Linked DNA regions of Caenorhabditis elegans. The protein of the gene in region 3 purifies or fractionates together with the protein of the main gene of each other region. This does not show direct contact. Each region holds a gene or a part of one and is shown on either strand. Other genes may lie near its edges. The genes, in order: C17H11.5, B0228.9, kle-2 and capg-2.

Region 1 (4,376 bases), on a different chromosome or scaffold from region 3:
GGGATGCTATAGAAGTTGGACGCACTGTATTACACCGGTTGGTAAAAAAGAGGTGCCGAGGATTTTATGACATTGTGAAGTTAGTACTTTACTACTACTACTACTACTATAAGAGTGTCTCATACTGCTGAGTTCTTAAAAAAATAAAAAAAAAGGGAATGTTGTTCGAACGAAGTTTCGGGGATTGCTTTACCACATAAAAAATTTGAGAAAAGATGAAAACTGAGAAAATACAAAACACTTGTTGCTCGCTCTAATATTTTTATTTTTTTGAGGCATAACTTAGTCTGAGAATTGCAGAAGATCGTCAAGATCTGATATTTTTAGAAACCGGCAAATGCATAAGTTTCCCAATACCGAAAATTTTTGGATCACTTACTGTTAAACAAAAATTAAATTTAACACTCTTAGCACAGGGCTAAAGTTTCTGATTTTTCAGCACTTGTACTCACAAATTTAATCAAGAAATGTTTCAATGTGTTGAAAAAATTAATTTGAAAAATTTACAAAATATTTTATTTGTAAAAAAACAATGTTCGGAGCATTGAATTATAGAACTAACACAGTAATGTGTTGAAATGTGTTTAAATGATCGTTTAGATTTCCTTTCGAATTAATGGAGCTCCATCAAAGCGCTTCTTGTTCTCGATTCCAAAGAGTAATCTGATAGCCCGGCAAATGAACCGTATTACTACGTTACATGGTCGATTATATTTTTCTCGTTTCATTCTATCGTACACTTTCATTGCGGCAATGGAAATTCTGAAAATGAACTAGAGTTCAGAAAACAATAGTTCAAAATGTTAGGTGACCTCTGGTAGTCGAGCCAATACTTGATGGTCATGTAATCATATCTACAGGTTTCCATTGCAACCGAAAATTCTCTGAAAACTAAGAATATGAAATAACGATACGGCATTGCAATTCACATAATAGCACCATCATCGTTTTCCGGGCATACCGGAGGAACTCCAACCCAGTCGTTCAATTTATTTCGTGGTATGGGACCTGGCGGAGCTTCACCGTTCATCAGTTTGTTGAGAGTGTACTGATCAGGAAAGACGTATGTCTCGGCTGGATGGTGACTGCAGACTGAACCAGAAAAACTATGTATTAAAGAAAGTATTTCAAATGTATTTTTCTAATATCACAAATACTAGCATACAGAGAAATCTCATATATCTGATGTTTCAAATTCCTCTAGGTTTCGAATTGAGAGATTTTTCTTTAAAAAATTTGGACCGACCTAAAAATGTCGAAAATTTTTAGGTAGACTCAATAAAAACTTAAAATTGACTTTTGTTCTAAACTTCATTGAACTTCAAAAAATTTTTTAACTTTTTTATTAGGTCAAGGAAACTTTTGTTTTATTTTATCAGTTTTTTTCCACTTTTTGATCTCAAAACTCTGCCAACAAAACATTGTTTTCCGTTAAACCTCTTTGCGACATACTATTTCGGCTCTTTTGAAAAACAAATTATATTGTTCTTATATTGCACTTATTTTGTATCTAAAGGAAGCCTATCAATTGAAGGTTATTTGTCTTAAATTTTAGTTTTCGGCCATATTAGAAAGAATATGAGGGGAAGTTAAATAATTCGAGGAAGTACGAGAAAACTTGACTGATAAACGGAAAAAAGCCCGCATGGGGTGGGGCCTATTTTAGAACTTCGTGACGGTTGGCTATTTCCGCCCATTTTTTGGTTTGTTTTTTAAGTCTACGGTTGAAAAATTGAAAAATAAATTTAAATTGGCGGCAACGATACTACGCGCTGAATCCTGATCGACGCGAAGACACAAAACAGTAAAAATGTGTAATTTTCATTGATGGCCAATTCAGTGCGTTATATCGTTGCCGCCGATTTAAATTTATGTTTCAATTTTCTAACCGTTACATAGAAAATGAACAAAAAACTCATCATAAGGATAAATATGAATAAATAAATGAATAAATAAAATTCCTCCCATGTGGGCTTTTTTGCGTTTTTCGGTCAAATTTTCTTGAACTTCCTCGAATTTTTTTACAGTCTTTCAAATGTAATGTAGATAAATTATTTATTTTTGGATGAGAAAACATCATTTTTTATTGAAACTTGGAAAAAATGGACTGACCTCGTGAAAGAATTTTTTCAAGTATTTTCATTCCTTCTAATGGGGTTATTCAAGTAATGTCGGAAAATTAAAAAGTGTAGAAAAATTACGTCACAACTGTATTCAAGTATATAAAAACATGTATTTAAATACATTTGTGACGTCACAAATGTATTTAAATACATTTTGCTACATTACTTGAATAAGCCCATAAATTTCAAACGATTGCGATCATTATTCAAGTGTTTACAAATAACGTTTGCTTTGTACAAAAATATTGAAATTTCCAATAAAAATTATGAAAAAAAACATTTTGAAAAAGGTAGAATGTTTCATTTACTGTTTTTTTTTTGGAATTATAATTGATTTCGTTTTTTGAAAAATAGTTTTGAATGCAGAAAAACCACTTTTGTTCATGAATACTAAAACTTACAGCATGGTGCATCTAAATCGCACTCTTTTAGATGTCTCATAGCTATTTTTGCTTTTTCGGTCAGTAGTTTAACAAATCCAGTCATCGTTGCCTATACAGTCTGAAAACCTTGTAACATTGTTAAGAGAGAACTAAACAAAATTAAGTTTTCAATTAAAATCAATATATTTTACAAAAAAATATAGAGAACATTAAAAAATGAATGTAATGAAGAGATGATGACTTGTATTTGAATTTGGATTCCAATACTGTCAGACAAGAAAAATTGAAACAAGTGTAAACAGGTTAACATGAGAAATTGACGAGATTGACTTTGAAACACTTTTTGGCAATCACAACATAAACACACGTCGTGGCTAGCAGTAAAGAGGGAGAAAAAGTACTGTACGAAAAAAATACCGCATAGAGTTGTTGTTGATGTTTTTGTTATTGGACAATAAGGAGAAAATTTGGAATGGAAAAGATGGAAAAGATGGGGAAAGGGAGAAAATTGCAGGGTTATGAGAAGAAATGACTAGTTGAAGCACGTTGAGACAACTGGAAGGAACATAAATGACATAGAGTGATGTTTTTTATACAGAATGAAAAAAAAGAACGCGATGTTATTATTTCGTTTTGTTGAACCAATTACTGAATATTCCAAAACGTCGCTTCTTTTTTTTCTGACTTCTGGATGAAGAACTTGTCGACACACTGTCATCGCCAGCATTCTCACCGTTCGCCTCAAGTTCTGTCGGGCTACGTGGCGCGGCGACAGTAATTCCAGCCTCCGAAGGAGCGTTGCTCATATTTTGAACAATTTCTGGTTTCGACAAATTCGAGAGTCCCTGCCTGTTCACCGTGTTACCGGTGTTGAGGTTGACTGGGAACGTGGCTACTGTATGCACACTCTTCCCGCTTCCTGATCTTCGGAGCTTGCTACTTGGTCGCGTTGAAGGTCTAGAAACACTTTCAAATAATTTTAGACTAAAGAATGCAATAGCGGAGAAAAAAATGTTCAAGTTAAACATTTTTACTTATTTTCACCTTTGCTCTTGCTTTCACTAAATGTATTTTGAAGATGATGTACAAGAAAAGTACTGCAAATTAAATCGAAAAACGTTTTTTAAAAATATTACCTTTCCAAAATTCATTTACAGTGATCGCATTAAAAAATCAATATTACACTCCGCCTGTAGGTTTTTTTGCACATTTCAACATAAAATCTACTGAATTTCTGATATTTTTGTTTAAAATCCAAAAAAATCAATAGCTAAAATTCGTTTTAAAAAAACTGTTGCTTGAAATGATCGAAATTTGTGATTATAATACTTCATATTTCAGTATAACACTTTTTTCACAAACATCTTATTCTCGAAAACTTCCTCCTACAACATTTAACATTCAAATTTTCGCAACTCACTCATAAGGTGTCTCTTGAGGTGCGTCAGTGGCTACCATTTGCTTCATATTATCAAGCCAGCTACGAATTTTGAATAAATCGATGGGATCGATATTCACACTTCCAGAGCTGCGCATTGCAGGTGGTGAATTGATCAGCAACGCAGCACCTTCTTCGGTGAAAAGAAGCCCATCGTCGTCGCGCTCTTCAAAATTTGAAGGGGTTGGGTAAATAATTAGATTTGGTACACTTTATATATATTTTTCAATGCATTCTCATTTCAAGTTTGTTACGCGAACTCAACTGCGGCATTGCGATTTTATGTAGCTCACAAGAATAAAAAATTTCAATTTAACATAATTTTGTTAAAATAGAACAGAATGGCGGAACAACAAAAATTTTAATTAACTAGAAAAACAATTCAAAGAGAACGGAGAAAGTTTGATTAGGTTTGTTATATTCTAAAAAAAT
Region 2 (4,145 bases), on a different chromosome or scaffold from region 3:
ATGTAGGAAACTGCATATAAATAAATATCGGTTTAATTCGATTTACAAAGTTTGGTTTTCAGCTAACAGCAACAAAATGTATACCGTATCTTTTGTAGTTTGTTTTCTTTTTTGTTGCTGAATAAAGAATACATTGATATCAATGACAAAATTTGAAAAACCGATTAATTTAATTTAATTTATTCATGTTGTGATGCTTGTCAGACTTAAAAATATGACGTCTCAAAACTATACGAATAAAACAGTTCATATCGGAAATAAAGGCATTTTTCAAATGACTGAAAGACTGATTTTGAGATTTTAGAATACGTCAGTTCTAAAACTTTTGAGGTTTTTCTAAAAGTACACATTTTCTAATTAAGCAATGTATTTTATGAAAACAAAAATCGCAGAAAAAATGTTTAGTACTTGATAACCAATTTTTAATCTGCCTTCTTTTTACTTCATTAATTTTTGGAATCTCTGAATATATTCCAACATTTATTAATAAAAAAAATTATGTCAACATTTAAGACGAACATTTAAAAGATTATCCATAAACTTTCTCTTTTTGCTCTCTTCACATTCAAAATACATTCGATTAATTTTCCAATGTCCATTTTTATTCTTGTATCCAACAAATCCCACATCCAACTCCTCTTGCTCCTGAATTTCATTTGCTCGACTGAGAAGAAACGTTGTTGAGAAATCAGCATGCACGAGGTTACGAATTCTAACTTCAGAGACTACACATTTTGCATACCTTGCAACCACTTTATTCATGTATTCACGGATTTTATCTGAATTTCTTGCATTTAAAAATAACTTTCAGTTGTCAGCAAACCATATTTCTGCTCTCTTTTTCCAACACAAGAGCCCCATTTAGTATCATTTGGATCAAATAGGTCCAAGAATGATTGATACACATCCCAATTTTCACCATCAATCATTCCACAAAATCTTTTATTCACTTCTCCCAGTATGACAGATCCATCTAGAACTGCAGGGTACTGTGTCACATCTACAGTGCATCTCTTTGTAACCCAGTAAATTTTCCATAGAAGGTACAAACGATCATTTTCCGGGAAATAATCTTCTGCCTGAAAATTCATGTATTAAAGTGTCGGAAAGCATTAATAAATTTACCTTTTTAACCCGGAAAATATATGTGTCCCGGAATTGTGTAGTATTGTCTGCTGTCCAAGTCGTAGAGAAAGTTATTTCAAAATCTTGATTATTTTTTACATGATCAAATTGATTGTTCTGAATAGTAATCTTAAATGAAAATTAAACTGAAAGTTGAAAATTTACCGAATATTTTCGAATATGATGATATCTAGTACTCATATATTTTATAAACTCATCTGCAAAATAAAGTGAACTTAATTATTTCGTTGTCTCTACAACGTACTTTTATCCATTTTTTGTTCATCACAAACTACAATAATCGCATCATCTGTTATCCAATCCCCAAATTCTTCAAAGTTTTGCAAAGTTTGATCAACTCCATCAGGTAAGAATAATCCGCTTGATAATCTAAAAATGTTCAGCTTTAAAATTTGAACTTTCAATACGAACGCTCACTTTGTTCGAACTCGTTCTAAATAGTTATCAACATCCTCCAACGGCTCTGATGGATCTTTTACAGGAAATACAGAACAATTGTAAGGAAACCAAATGTATTCAATCAAAAATTTATTCTGATTCCAATCCATTGAAGCTTCGTAGGTCCACTTCCCATCTGAGTTTTTCCTGTCTGAACCCATTGCTGTATACGTAAAAATTCCATTTATATAGTTTGGATGATCTGTCCATCTGTCCGATCTAACTTCCTGTAAAACCAATAATTCCATATAAATCTGAAACTATTCTTACAGTTAAATGTTGATAGTAACCAGAGATAAATGTCAATACATGTTGAAACTCTGGAACGGATAAGCTTCGGCCAGGCTCAAAACAAGTACATATTCGAATTTTTGAATGGAAATAGTTAGCTAAATCATCAAAATGTGCACGACTTCTTCCATCAAGAATGCCAACCATATCCTCTTGAAATCGTTTCATCATCATGTCAGAATTTGTTGGATCAGGTTTCCCTTGCTGAGTTGGTGGAGGTGTGACACTTTGCATAAAGGATCTTGTATTGTTTTGATCAATTGGATCAAACCAGTCCAAGTCATAATCATCGAATTCAAATGTTATAGCAAAATTAAAAGTGTGAATATAAGAATATTCATTTTAAACTGACAGGGAAATTGAAACGGAGCTTTTATGGAGCTCTCCTGATTCGATTAAAGTTTTTAATTTAAAATATAGGTTTAGATTTCGATTTGCAATATGAATTGAAGGAAAAGAATTGCATTTTTACAAATGAACATTAAAAAAATGGAATAAATATTACAGCCAGCTTGAGGAAACAGCCAAAACATTGAGGTTCGTACTACTTCTCCGCTTTTTGAATCTCTTCGGGAATAACCACATCTTGAATCTGTTACGAAAAGGGCGGTTGATTGCTATTGTTGAAATTGATGTTATCGATCCATGGAGACTGATAATTATTGTGGAAATATTTACCAAAACTGAAAATTTAGTCCTTCTCATCCAACGACTCATCTTACAATTAGAATGGTTCTTCGGGAAAATAGATTATTAAAAATGACGCAGCCAAACGGGACATAGAACTATGGTCTACCCTAACGAAGGATTCAGAAGTTCGGAAAGGTGTGATCATAAGTAAGTAAGTATCTGAAAGCTTTGCTTACCTTGGTTTCTATAAAGGAGTAGAAATGAGAAGAATGTATATCCCATTGGTAATATTATAACAGCAAGATGAGTTAACATCTGAAAATAAATTTTGATTGTCTAGTTTCTATTGACAAAAGAAAATGAAAAGTGTCACCTGTAGCCACGTCGTATAAAAGAATTTAAGTTGAAGTTTTCTCGTTGCTGAAGACATTTTACTTCTTTCAATTGAAAATAAAAAATAAAAACTAAATCCTGTGAAAAATATAACTTGAATAAGAATCACTAGAGAAAATAGTAAGACTGTAGTAATTAACATTGTATTTGAAACCGGCTTAAAGGAAAATGCAGTTGTGAAAAACTCCGGAATTGGACAGAGAAAGTACTAAAATTCTTGAATGATACTTTACAAAATGAGCGATCTTACATTGACGTAAGAATTTTTAGCCGAATTCTGATCTTCAAGTCTCAAAAATGAAGATATAAGTAGTGAAAAACTTATAACAAACATTATGCAATGGTATTCTCGTCTTTTATTCATTTTAAAACGAAAATATGGTGGACACATAGCATTGAAACGATTTTCAAAAATCATCACAACTGCCGAACCAAGACCTGAAAAGTCCTTAACGTTATAGATCATGGAGTTTAATTTTTGAAACAATTTTTCTACTTGTTTCACACTTGTTGCTGAAAAATGGAAATGAAAAATAGAAAAGAAATCTCGAAATTTGGCGCTATAGTTTCTTCACCAAACTTGACCCAAGAATATTATCTTAGATCAAAAATTGTCAAAACTCGGGCAAAACTTAGTTTTAGCTTTTTTCGGCAATATGCCGCAACTATTTTACTTAATTTTCAATTCACCTGCTATGATTATCACAAGCACTACCAGTTGAATTTCTGTTTTCAACCCAATTAAACTAAATAATCCAACTGGAAGCACTACCAGAGTTGGAATGAAAAAATAAGGAATTAATAGAAACGAATACATCAAATCCATAGCTCTTGTCCTGTGATTTGGAATTAAATTGGTTTGAAGTATTCAGATTTTCTTACCAAAATGCCAAGTTTATTAAACACCGTTTCATATCCTTCATTTGAGTTGGTGAATGATAAATCAAAAGATACATTGCGTAGCTTGTAGGGAAAAGTTCCAGAATAGTGAGAAAAAAACAGAAATTTCTAAAAATTACAGGATTCTCCAGCAAAGAAACTTCTTGTTTGCAATCCATTGTGGTTGATCGAACAAAAAAAAGTAAACGAAGAATCAGATATTTATAGCAGATGTGAAATTTGTGACAGAAAAATGTAGTATAGATGGATGAGATAGTTGAAGCATAAAATGCATAATAAGTCAGGCGATTTTTTTGCTGGTTTTGTAGAATTTTCTTCTGGTTTATGCGTAGGCTTTGTACCTATGG
Region 3 (6,204 bases):
AAGTTTTGGATGCCACAAAAAGGATCATGGGTGGTACGAAATGGACGGGCGGTACAGAAAGTGACACGCCCATCAATTAGTTGGTGCACCTCACACATTCGAACTCCATATGCAGTTATGGCGTAAGAATTGATGACTTTGACCTATGAGGAACTACAGTATACCGTATTCCCTCTAATATTTTTACACCTCTTTTCTCAACTTTGGCAGCTCATATCTCAGTAGTAGTTTGTTCTATAGAAAAGTTGTCAACTGATAAAAATTTAGATAGATGTTTTTTCTGTAGTTTGTAGTTTGTTAATTATTTATATGTCCAAAAAGGAGATATGAGGTGTCAAAGTTGAGCAAAGGGGTGCAAAACTAATAGAGGAAATACGGTATACGGTATTCCTTCCATTTAGGTATCGAAAGAAGAATAGTATTCTAAACGCCGAGGTCAATATTCCAAAACACTCAACAGCTAAATCCATCATTCTAGGTATAAGGAGTAATTGTAGTGGTATGTAATTAGTGTTGTGATTCATATTAAAATCTATTACATTTTCAGGATGTGACATAGAAGTAATAAACTGTCGTGGAATATTTGTTGAGATTGAATTTTCAAATAAAAAAGTAACTATATTTTCCGATTTCGTTGACCGTTCAATAATTGCTGAATTCAAAGCACGAAGAAAAGTAGAATTTGGAAAGTTTTATAAATTCTCAATTCATTTACTGGACTCGCATCTCTTCATAAAATTCGGAAATCATCATGTGATGACTTCAGTGGAAATTCCAGAAGAACAATTAAATAAGGTTATTAAAATAATCAATTGAATTTCAAATATAATGTTTTCAGACAAATAATGACACTTTATTCGTGATTGGCACTGGAAATTTTGGCATCTCCGAATGGGATAATATTTCAACAGATTATTTTCACTGAGGCTGATTAATTACATTCAAAAAGTATTTAATATTGCTTGGGCATGTTTCTATTAAAATAAATGTACCATTTTATAATTTACCACATTATTGGAAAATGTCAAAATCAATTGCCACAAAAAACTAGATTCAAACTTCCGCGCAAATGGTACCGCAACGATGCTCCGCGTTTCGCTAAACAACGCGCGCCTCACGCGCGCAGTTTGAATTGAGAACGTTTTCCTGTTTTCTTTTTTTGTCTGAATTGTGTTATTGTGCTATTTATTATCCCTTTTTTGTACATTTTCAAAATTAAAGTATGGCCTCTGCTGTTGGAAAAGGAGTGACCGCTTTCAACACCATCAAAAACATCATTTCGGAACTGAAAAAGGTCGACAAAACATTCTCCCCGAATTCGGCACAATATAAATACCTCATGGAGCAAATGAAAGCCGACCAGGTTACAACAAGAAGATATTCAAAAGCCGAGAACGAGTCAGAGAGCGTTGCAAAACTCTATTTGAGCTATATTAAAGGGTTCGTTTGTTTTATGAGAATAAGAAAGTAATAATCAATATCCATTCATTTTAGAACCCGACAGCTTAATGAACTTCAAGAGAGATATAAGGGTGGCGAGAAGAGTGTTGAAGAGGCTGCTGCTATTGTTGGATTGAAACTTCCAGAACAAAAGAAACTTTAAAATACTTAAAATTGTTATTTCTTTCTCGAATAGATTAGATTCCTGTTTTCTTTTCAATCAAAATAAAATACTTCGTTTTTAAAATACTATTCAGGTTTTTTATAACTTCCTTATGGTTTTCGTACCATTCTATATCTTTTTTATAGTTAATCATCGCCAGAGCATTGGAATTGTTGTTTCAGGTACAAATGACTAGGAATGCTCCTCCAGGTCAAGAATCGACAGATTTAGCATGGCTCGTCACACCCGCAAAAGATCTTGTCGAGAACTTCTCAATCGACGTGTTGAAAGTAAGGATAATTTTTTTTCACGGTTGTATCTTTTCTTTTTCGGTAAATAAAATAAATAATTGCTCGACTTTCAGGCACTCGCCGGATACCTCGAGGTTATCAGACAAGAAAGTGAAGACACAGATAATCAGGTGGATGCAGCGACAACTTACAGATTGTTCGATTTTCAACGAGCATGCCGGATTATTCAAGGATCGTGTGCCGTATATGGTCGAAAAGTAGATCATGTCTATGAACTGACGATTTCAGTTGTGGATTTAGTCGAGAACAAAGGTCAAGATGATGGAAACACCGGCAGTAGACGAGGAGCTGGAAGACGGAAAAATTTTAATTTGGGATCGACGAATTACGACTTGGCTGATATCGACTCACTGAAACAGGAAGCTCTAGCAAATTTTGAGAAGACAGTAAAAGAAGAGAAAAAATCGATTGATGCAGTGAGAATGGTCGAGAATGCTGAAGTTATAGAGTCTCAATATGAGCGAAAAAGCTGTTTAGTAGCAAAGCCAACCCAGTTCATGTTCAAGCTCAATTACGGCCAGCTCAATCGTACTGATGAACAAATTTTGAATGCAAAATCTCGTCCTGATGTTATCGGAAAAGTAAAAGATTTTGAAATTAAAAAGTCGAAAGTTAAACACGATCAACAAATACTCTACTCCCATGATTGTTATCGTGGAAATTTAGACCAATTCACACTACCTGGTGCTCGTTGGATGCCAGATAATAAGGAATTGGCAGCTAATTTTGGTGTTGCTGATTTGGAAGTTGAGTTAGATTTGGAGCAAGAGCATGAGAAGATCAGTGCATATGGACCGTTTAAGGTAAGTGGTAATAATTCGATGAAACATTTTCAAAACTTGATTTCTTCAGGATCCTCTCTCTGGCCGTGAAGTTGTTCCACCTCCTCGTTGGTTCATAGAGCAAGAAGCAGTTCGTCAAAATCAAGAAATTCAATCTCGTGCCACATCGAGAGCCATCACAATTGCAGCTAAAACTCTTCGAGATTCTCAAGGCTTTGGATCTCAACCAACTCGTCTCTCACAACCATTTGTTGAACGACATCGACAGAGTAATCATTTGAATGATTTCTTGTCATTTGTGGAGGGAAGAGTTAATAAGAATCGCCCGAGCACTCATCTTACCACTGGCTTAGTTGATATGTTCGTTGATAACTTTGGATCTGTTATGCAAAACGATGAACCAAACACTAGTAGAAGACCTGATGAGAATTACGCGCCCATGGACTTTGATGATGATTTTGGTGGTGGAGGAGACGATGACGACGATGATTATATTCGAAATTTGTCCAGAAGGGATGAGAAGCGAGCACCGGCACCATGGGACGAGCTGGATAAAAATCATATTATTTGGTACACGGGAGACGAGAATCTGCCAGGTATTTGTTGAATTAATGGGATTCTTTCGGTATTTTTTAGATTATATATATATATGAGCCGTGGACCGCACCTCCGGCGCGGCCCCCGACTTCTGGAGCTGAAAACCAATTTTTCTGAAACTACCGTAATCATACAGTACTCCTACCGTAATCATACAGTACTCCTACCGTACCACCATTGTACCACTACAGTACCCCGACTATATCCCTACACTAACCCCAACTCACTATCCCTCCAGAAGCTAAAACTTCGCAGACTACAAAGACTACATAGACTACAAGCTATGGACAAACGGAATAAGCGCTTTATATATAGTAAATGATATATTTCAGTCGTTAGCAAGCCGGTAAAAAAGATCACGAAATTCCAACCAAAACCCGCTGAAATGTTGGCTAGGAAGCAACGACGTGAGGAAAAGATCAATAAGTCTCGACGAGACGAGTTCATGGAAACTCACGACTATCTGCAGGATTACTACTATTGGAGAAGTGCGGCTCGTATAAATCCGATTAAGGACTGGAAGATAGAATCACTTCGTACTGCTATTCTAGCCGAGAAGAAACGAAGAATCAAGGAAAAGACTGCAAAAATCCGAGAAGCTCGTATCCAGAATATGCAGAGAAAACGGACAGCTCGTGTGATACCCGTGGAGCAATTTGAACCGGTAACAGAGGATATTCCAACGTCTAATAGAAGAACCCTCGGAGCTGAATGTAAGAAATTTCAATTTTATGAAATTTAAACTGAATTATATTTTTTCCAGATGACGACGTAGTCGATGAAGATCTTGCTGCCGAAGTCGAGCTCTCAATGTTTGGAGGTGGGTTCGATGACGACGAAGAAGACGTGCGGCCACGTGGTGAACGGCCTCCTATGGCTCCAAACAACCTAGAATTCGATGCTCTTCAAACAGATTTTGATATTCCGCCTGCTGAATATGTTCCATTAAGATTCGAGGATATTGATGATGCCGAACTGAACAGTGTTATCAATTTACCTGGAAATTTGCTCATCGACAGTAAGTTATTTGCAAAATTTTATAATAAAATTTTAAAATTAATACTTTGAAATTGTACTCTCTCAAGTCTATCAAGTAAATTTTCTATTTACAGAAGCTTTACCATTGCTCAAGAAGTTTGCTGAAAATCGAACAGATCGCGAACAAATGGCTTACGAGATGGCTAAAGCATATGAAGATGTGGATGTTGCCGTGTCAACTCTACAAGAACATGTTGACAAATGGCATTCTCGAATGGAACCAATCCTCGAAGAAGGAGAAACTCGAAAAGAGTATGATGTATGTTTTAGAGTATTTAATCTTAAAGGTGGAGTAGTGCCAGTGGGGATTTTGTCTAAATACACTTATAGTGATTCAAAACAACCGAATATCATAATAAAACACTCCAAAAAGTTTTAGATTTTTCATAATTTCCGGTCAAAGTTTTGGCAAATTGCCAAAATTTTGAAAAATATGAGCTTTTGAGGTTATTTAAAGAAATGTCGTATGTTTCGACCCCTACAATGTTTTAATACAATTAATTTAAACAAAATTAAAACAATAAAAAATGTAATAAATTTTTTTGGTCGACTTCCAAACATATGAGTGGCAAAAACTGAGTAATTGCCAGTTTTTGACAGTAAATAAAAAAATTTTCAAAAGTTTTATCATGATATTTGGTCATTTTGGAACCAAAGGAGTGGTTTTTAACAATTTCCCCACTGGCGCTACTCCACCTTTAATATTCTGGTCAACCACAGTAATTTGAAAAGTCAAAATGTCTAAATGTTTGAATTTCTCAATTATAATAATTTTCAGGTTCACGCAGTTGGTCGTGCTGTCATTGGCCAATACGATATTGAAGGTGGCACGAAACGTTTACTAGATTTGGTTATGGATCGTCCATGGTACGAAATCAGTCGATACTTCCTTTCGTGCCTCTTTATGTGTAATGTCGGAAATGTCATGGTCAGCGAGGACATGGAACTGCCACTCGAGGAAAGAATCAACTCGATGAAAATCACACTACTCAAAAGAGATATGCATTGTGAAATGTTCAAGGAGGCTGGCGCTCTTGATGCCTAATTTATAATTATTGTTTTTTTTGCATTAAATCTCCCGAAAACCATCTTAATTTATTTAAACATTCCTCATTGTCTCTACTTGTATCTCGATTTCTGGCTATACTTTCATTTTACTGTATCAATTAATTAACTTCTAGATGCCAAGTATTTTTCTTCTGTTCGTTATGGTACTTTACTGACTGTACAATAACTTTTTTTCCGACGAATTACCACTATTTCTTTGATTGTTTTTTAATTACGTCCTTCATTTTTTATTCAATCTTAAAAATAAATCGACTGGTTTTAATATCAAAGGCCCAAATCATAATTCAATTCCTGGTGCGTGGCATATGCGTTCATGAATGCAGCGCCATGTTCCAAAGATTGGGTGACGGATTGAACAACATCTGAAGAAATCATTTTCTGGAACCATTTTGTCAATTTAGGATATTCTTCTTCTCCTGGGAATTCAATTGTTGGTAAATCGACAACTCCATCCAAACTAGCTGACCACCAAATTTTCTCAAAAAATGGAAATGATAAGTAGTCTGGATAACCTGGTTGAGATCCTGAATAGTTTGAATTTGGTCAAAAAATTGTATCGATTAATTGAACTCACCAGCATAAAAATCATTGGCCAAGAGATTTTCAGCTTGTTTCAAAACTTCAAAAACTTTTCGCTGCTTTTCATCTTTCAAAGTTCGGTCTCGCATGACGGCGAAGAGCAATGGAACTGCATGGGCTACCTGAATTGCTTATTTAAAACAAAATAGTTTAGAAAATAGAAAAATTCAAGATCATATTTGAATTTCCTCCAAAATGAATAGCCACGCCCACTCTCAAACCAATC
Region 4 (6,214 bases), on a different chromosome or scaffold from region 3:
TGATTCAAATTAGCTTTTTTCTTAGAGAAAATTGTGTAACAACGGGATGGGTTACTGTATCTCTAAAAGCCATAATTTGAGATCTTGGCAGGACCCACTCAGAAAACCATCATGTGCCTTTAAACCAAAGTGTCGAATTTTCACGAAATTACTCATAAAAAATTTTGGAATTTTTTACGGTTATATTCGGAATTCTGTAATTCAGAGAGAAACTACTACAGACACTAATTAACCGCTAAAACCTAAATTTTCAGACGTCGACACTTCTAAAACTGAAACGTCGTGTTGCCTGTGACATCTGTTCGAAATCATTTTGTGACAAGGGAGCACTCAAAATCCATACATCAGCAGTACATCTTCGCGAAATGCATACATGCACCGTAACGGGTTGCGGGAAACAATTTAGCAGCCGAAGAAGCCGTAACCGTCATAGTTCGAACAACAACCCAAAATTGCACATGCCCGAGTCACTAACCTTAACTGGTTCAGGACTTTCCATGAAGACTAGTTTGGATACATTTTGGCCGACCCGGTTTCTTCTTGGAAAAGATCATCCGCTGGATTTATCATTGAATCTTGTTTAAAACATTGTTAATAACTAAAACAGGAAAATACTTTTACAAAGAAAAAACAATAAAGCAGAAAAATATAGAACGTCAATGAGATCAAATAAAAGAATTATATATAGAGATTAATAGGGTTAGAGTCTGTTCTCATCTGGAAGTTGGACATCAAGAAGAGAAGAAAGACTGTTCAAAATGTGATGGGCTACAGTATTCAGATCTGAGGCATTCGCGAAGCAATCCAGCACTCTTGTAGTGCATTTGTCGATGGCTTCTTTGATTAGCTTTCCATGGAATTTTGAATATCGTTCGAGAATTCGTAGAAGTTGTGACAGTGCTGCTAGTTTAGACAGTTTTTCATCAGTTTTCAGTTCACCTTCTTCTGCCGTAAAATACTTGCTGTCTTCGGGAATATAATTGGTTGATATTTCTTCAATAATGTCTTCAGTTAGCGATTTTTCTTTGAGAATGAACTTGATTAGTGCAAGAGAAATGAAGTGTGGTGGTTTATAATCTTCATCGCGTGGATCATCATATGCCTCGTCGTCATTTTTCGAAGAAGCTGATACAATTGAGAATAACATAAAGTGATGCATCATACGTTTAGCTGAATCTTCGTCCCAATAATCAGTTTCAGAAACTCTCTTGTGAAATTGGCGTAAAGATTCCACAATTTCTCGATGATTTTTAAAAATGTTCTCTTCATCATCTTCCATCAAATCACATTGCTTATTCATCCATTTTGGAATAAATCTGAGAAGAAGTGCCATTTCGTGGTGCACTTCAGAATAAGATTCGTCGCACAGCGTTGTGCCCACTCGAAGAGCTGGTCGGAAGATTTCAAAAGGTGTGGAACTATTACAGAAGGACTTGACGATTCTGAAAAATAAAAATGATATATGACGTCTTATAAGACATTTAGAATAACTTCACTGTTATTCTATCAAGAAATGAAAACCTGTGGTTAAATACCGAGTAGCGACAGTGGGCATATCGTCTAAATACACCGAAGATTTTTAAGTTCTTCAAAATTTTTAGTTCAAGAGAAACCCATTTTTTGGCTTCCATAATTATTAAATAGTGAAAAGGATATTAATGAAGATTTAAGACAATCTTATTTAAAAAAAAATTTTTTTATGATATTCGACCATTTTTGTATGGGAATCGTTGTTAGCAATTTTCCACTGGCGTTGCTCCATATTTAAATCCCTTTCTTAATAAATATATTTCATTTCTAAAGAATTAAGTCTTTCGTATGACCCTACCTGCTTATAACTTCTGCTACCGTAGCCTGATCTTTCGCTGCATCATTTTCTTCTCTTGGATCCCGATTCTCGTTATCTTCCTCATCTTCAAATTCGACAGGTCTCGTTTTGAAATCATACGCAGATAGTGACACGTTTACACAATTCAAGAATGTACTTGTTAATTGAATGAGAAAATCTTGATTGTGTTCACCAAAAGTCGCCATTTGACTTGAAATATTTTTTTCAAACCAAAGAAGAAGGTTTTTCATTGACTCGATAGTTTGGTTACGATCCGCAGCATCTTCAGATCCATTAGTTGCAGCGAAAAAGGGCAAAATGAATCTAAATTCGAGTATCGACAGAAGAACATCATCACTGAGAGTGTGCTCCTGGCCTTCTTCTTTTGCAAGCCTAATTTCAATTCCTTCTCGAATTAGATCAATTTTCTAAATATAATATTATTGTTTCAATAATGAACTAATACACAAACCTTCAACAAATCCAAGACTTTAGTTCGGTATTCATCTTTCATTGCAATAAGATTTGATGTACTGTGACTCTGTAGCAAATATTTGAGACGGTTCAACGTCATAATCAGTACATCTTCTGGATCCTCCAATTCACGTCGTTTCTTCTTACTCTGTTTCGTTCCATACAAATTTACAAGAACATTAAGCCCACTATCGAATGAATCAAAAACAGAATCCGGGTTGAAATGAATTGCAGATTCAAGAAACGGCTCAACTGCTTCTGGAGGAACATCGTCGTCTTCCAGTCTTGCGAGAACATCATTAGCAATTGATTTAAGGTAATCTTTAGGAATGACACTGCTGATTGCTGTCGCAGTTCCGAGAATAGGAGTGTTGGCGTATTTTTCAAATATTTCCTTGACAACTTTTCCAAATATTTGATCACATTTCGCTTTTGAAGTTCCATCGCCATCTGACATCAGCATCTGAAAAAGTTTAGAAGTTTATAATGTTTTAAAAAAGGTCTTCAATTTTAAATTTGAGAAATAGAAAACTAACTCCTTTGCATGACATGTACAGAATGAGAGCACACTCAAGATAAGCTCTCGCTTTTTTGTATCCTTCGGCAGTCTCTGGTAATGGAGGGCCATCCTTTTTACGAAGATAACGATATGCCCAGGTTATAAACATTTCGATAAGTTTGGATGCTTGGGATGCATCAATGATTTTCATTGGGCCAAGCAATCGGAAGTAACTCAAAAGAGCCAATCGACTTTTTCCTAACATGTAGTTGACACGAGGACGATAGTATGCTTCATCCAGACTTTTCGAGATAGGAAGACAAATATGCATAATTGGAATCAGTTGACGGCGGCAGGTCTCTACGTTTTCCAGATCGAGTTTCGCAATGGCATCATCTCGAGTAATGATATCGAACACACTGAAAATTTATTTTTTAGTTTGTTGATTTGGGTTCATTTTACCTAATAAATTTATGATTCTTCAGACGAGAAATTATTTGGTAAGCAGCAAGACGAACTCGTTCAGATTTATCCTGTAGTGCTGGATCAACGGCACATTTCAATCCATATTCGAATGCTGTGAGACATGCCGGAACAAATGCCATTTCATTAAGACCTTCAAAAACGGCGACGCGGACGCTGACAACAGTGTCTTTCGCGACTGTATCAATGATGTATCCCATGAGTTCCTTCACGATATTTTTTGGAATAAGAAGCCAGAATTCGCTGATTGCCTTCAAGACATGTTTCGTGGCTTCGCTTCGAATGGAAATAACATCACTACGTAATAAGTCCATCATATATCGATGTTGGTTTTCCATTATCCTATCCATGTCTTCAGTATCCTCGCCAATTAGTGGGTAAAAATTGAAAAATACTTCTGCAGCTGATGACTGTACAATGTAATTTGGAGCGTCCAGCGCTCGGTAAAGACATCCATTGAGAAGCCTTGTCACCATTTCATCTACACTTTTGTCCAGTTTTTTCGCGTGTGCAAATGCGGCAATCACATTTTGAAATTTAGTGCAGGTAGGCCTGTGAGCATATAATGCATGCTGACACATGACACTGATCACATCGGTCTCCAATTCCTCTGTCAAATCAAAGTTAGCCTCCTGATATGCATTTCTCCAAGCTGTGACGAATACTTCACCATACCTTTGACATTCAGTGCTGCAAAAATATATATAAATGGAATTCTTCAGCGTATAAACTTTACTCGGTGAGATTGAACTTTAGTATTAACTTCTCGAGTAGTATCAGTCCATTTCCAACACCAATTTTTGGGAGAATTTCAGCTGATAATTTTATACCTTCCGGACAAATCAACAAGGCTGGTGCGAAGAAAATACACCGAAGAGTCGATGGATTTGCATTGGCAATAATATCTTCTTGAACTGCCCACAATTTTCTGATGAATGTTTTCTGAAGAGCCCGACCTCCTTTTCCACGGAACTCTGTGAGTAACTCATTCCAGTCTTCTGATGGTTGTTTGTTAGGTGTTACCGGATTGCTCTTCGGCATTGATCTCTTTACTGAAAATTTCTATGGAATTATAGAATTTATTTCAACAAAAAAATAGCAAAAAATAATAGTATTAAAGTTTTCACCTAAAAATAATTATAAATAATCAATAAAATAATTCAATAATATAATTTACCTCGCAATTAAAAAAAAAGAAACACATTTTCCTTGTTATGTTCAAAACGAATTCTTTCGCGCGGCCGTCTTTCTCATTGGGGCGCACTTGCCTTTTCATTTTTTAATGCAAAAAATGCCCAGAAAATTGCATAATTTGCTTTATTCTCTTAAAATAATTATCAATATTGACTGAAAACTAAAGTTTCCAATTTTAGAAATGTTTGCTAGAGCTCCATTTGTACGTCTACTATCAACGACTAGTCGAAACTTGGCTGAGGCCGAAAAGAAAGTCTCTAAAGAGGTATTAAAATCTAGGAACCCTAATTAATTTTAAAAAATAAAAAATAATTGTTTTTCAGGCTCTAATGGCTCTTCGAAAAAAGACTGGTTATAGTTATGTGAATTGTCGTAAAGCACTTATTCAGTTTGGCGAAAATGATATGGATAGTGCTGTAAAATGGTTGAAAGAAGCTGCAGCGAAGGAAGGATGGGCCAAAGCGGCAAAGTAAGTGTTTATTTTGAAATTTTTTTAATTTGGAATGTTGACTTCACAAGGAATTATTTTAATAGTTATAGAATATTCCAGACTTGGAACTCGTGTAACATCGAATGGTCTTGTATCTGTAGTCACGGACAACTCAACAGCAGCTGTGGTAGAACTCAGTTGTGAAACTGATTTTGTGGCGCGATCTGGAGCTTTCAAGGATTTGTTGTCAAACATCTCCAACTCTGTTCTCGCAAAAGCTAAGCCACAATCTATATCGAGCGGCTCAAAACTTCAAGAATTCACCTATGATCTTGGGGATCTGACCGATTCCGACGGAAAAAATATGCGTGAAGTGCTCTCCCTTTCAATCGGAAAGCTTGGTGAGAACATGACAGTGAGAAGAGTTAAGGCTTTTAAAGCTCCCGAAGGAACAACTTTGTTTGGAGCTTCACATCCTAAAGATGGAACTGATGATATCCCGATGGGACGGTTCATTTCACTCATCGCTCTAAATCAATCGAGTCCAGGTGAAACAAAGAAATAAAGTAAAAAATTAAGTCTTAACATTTACAGGGTCAATCAGTAGTCAGCAACTTGCCGGACAGATATGCCAGCACATTATCGGAATGTCCCCGGAATCCCTCGGCGAAGCTGCAGAATCTGTGAAAACTCAAGAAGGGCTTCGTAGTCAAGAAGGGCATGATCCAAATGCTGATCCAGTTGTTGTAACTAATATTGATGAATCGGAAACTGCTCTTCTCCGCCAAGCCTTCATGTTGAATCCATCTCAATCTGTTCATGAGTACCTAAAATCCCACAATGCTAACATTCTCGATTTTGTTCGTGTAGAGCTTGGAAGCGAATAATTAGATAAAAGTGGTAGTAACTTTATTTTCATGCCTTATTAGTTTTTAGAATGCTTTTGTTTCTCTGTTTTGTTAATCGATAAATAAATTTATCGACATATAAATTGAATTTAAAGTTTAAAAAATAAACATTTGCAATTTTCAGAACATTCCTCCGTGGAAAACAATTGAACAAGAAGACGATTAAAATGCATTTATTTTATTTCAGAAATTCATGGTCACTCGGATTTCTGTCGAAATCAAATGTATTTTAAGGTCACAATCCGCGAAAATTTAAAACAATTGTTGTAATATAGTAAAAATACGAGAAAACTGCTGAGAACACTCAGAAAACATATATATTTTTGGGGTACTGTATTGGTACTGTAGGAGTAATTGGTGATGTAGGTGTACTGTAGTATCACTGAGCTCTTTGTTGA

What was found.
Region 1: the proteins of kle-2 (region 3) and C17H11.5 fractionate together in Caenorhabditis elegans (co-fractionation; one large-scale study listed by BioGRID). This does not show direct contact.
Region 2: the proteins of kle-2 (region 3) and B0228.9 fractionate together in Caenorhabditis elegans (co-fractionation; one large-scale study listed by BioGRID). This does not show direct contact.
Region 4: the proteins of kle-2 (region 3) and capg-2 purify together in Caenorhabditis elegans (affinity purification with western blotting; 2 studies listed by BioGRID, with this or other methods). This does not show direct contact.

What each region holds. Positions count from the first base shown.
Region 1 is NC_003284.9:8,182,508-8,186,883, forward strand, and holds C17H11.5 (Phage protein), read right to left. Parts: upstream 2,627-4,376; 5' UTR 2,610-2,626; coding exon 2,525-2,609; intron 1,093-2,524; coding exon 930-1,092; intron 885-929; coding exon 813-884; intron 763-812; coding exon 597-762; 3' UTR 501-596; downstream 1-500. Other genes in the region: C17H11.6 (RBR-type E3 ubiquitin transferase), read right to left, coding at 3,130-3,463, 3,927-4,110.
Region 2 is NC_003280.10:7,761,561-7,765,705, forward strand, and holds B0228.9 (uncharacterized protein), read right to left. Parts: upstream 2,110-4,145; coding exon 1,855-2,109; intron 1,812-1,854; coding exon 1,564-1,811; intron 1,516-1,563; coding exon 1,391-1,515; intron 1,344-1,390; coding exon 1,291-1,343; intron 1,243-1,290; coding exon 1,126-1,242; intron 1,080-1,125; coding exon 824-1,079; intron 780-823; coding exon 502-779; downstream 1-501. Other genes in the region: srh-39 (Serpentine Receptor, class H), read right to left, coding at 2,377-2,558, 2,742-2,820, 2,879-3,106, 3,149-3,336, 3,589-3,734, 3,781-3,956.
Region 3 is NC_003281.10:7,939,932-7,946,135, forward strand, and holds kle-2 (Condensin-2 complex subunit kle-2), read left to right. Parts: upstream 1-1,785; 5' UTR 1,786-1,791; coding exon 1,792-1,893; intron 1,894-1,967; coding exon 1,968-2,717; intron 2,718-2,766; coding exon 2,767-3,292; intron 3,293-3,625; coding exon 3,626-4,006; intron 4,007-4,056; coding exon 4,057-4,311; intron 4,312-4,405; coding exon 4,406-4,590; intron 4,591-5,109; coding exon 5,110-5,376; 3' UTR 5,377-5,662; downstream 5,663-6,204. Other genes in the region: C29E4.10 (Putative galactocerebrosidase), read left to right, coding at 1-122, 402-499, 548-795, 839-925; C29E4.12 (Protein FMC1 homolog), read left to right, coding at 1,223-1,440, 1,495-1,603; gsto-1 (Glutathione transferase omega-1), read right to left, coding at 5,664-5,923, 5,974-6,100. UniProt on the Caenorhabditis elegans protein: Regulatory subunit of the condensin II complex, a complex that seems to play a role in prophase chromosome condensation and in chromosome segregation in mitosis and in meiosis.
Region 4 is NC_003283.11:12,269,995-12,276,208, reverse strand, and holds capg-2 (CAP-G condensin subunit), read right to left. Parts: upstream 4,337-6,214; 5' UTR 4,326-4,336; coding exon 4,021-4,325; intron 3,975-4,020; coding exon 3,264-3,974; intron 3,221-3,263; coding exon 2,839-3,220; intron 2,766-2,838; coding exon 2,301-2,765; intron 2,257-2,300; coding exon 1,829-2,256; intron 1,443-1,828; coding exon 701-1,442; 3' UTR 585-700; downstream 1-584. Other genes in the region: bnc-1 (Basonuclin zinc finger protein homolog), read left to right, coding at 255-584; tsfm-1 (Elongation factor Ts, mitochondrial), read left to right, coding at 4,660-4,743, 4,802-4,947, 5,029-5,456, 5,503-5,795.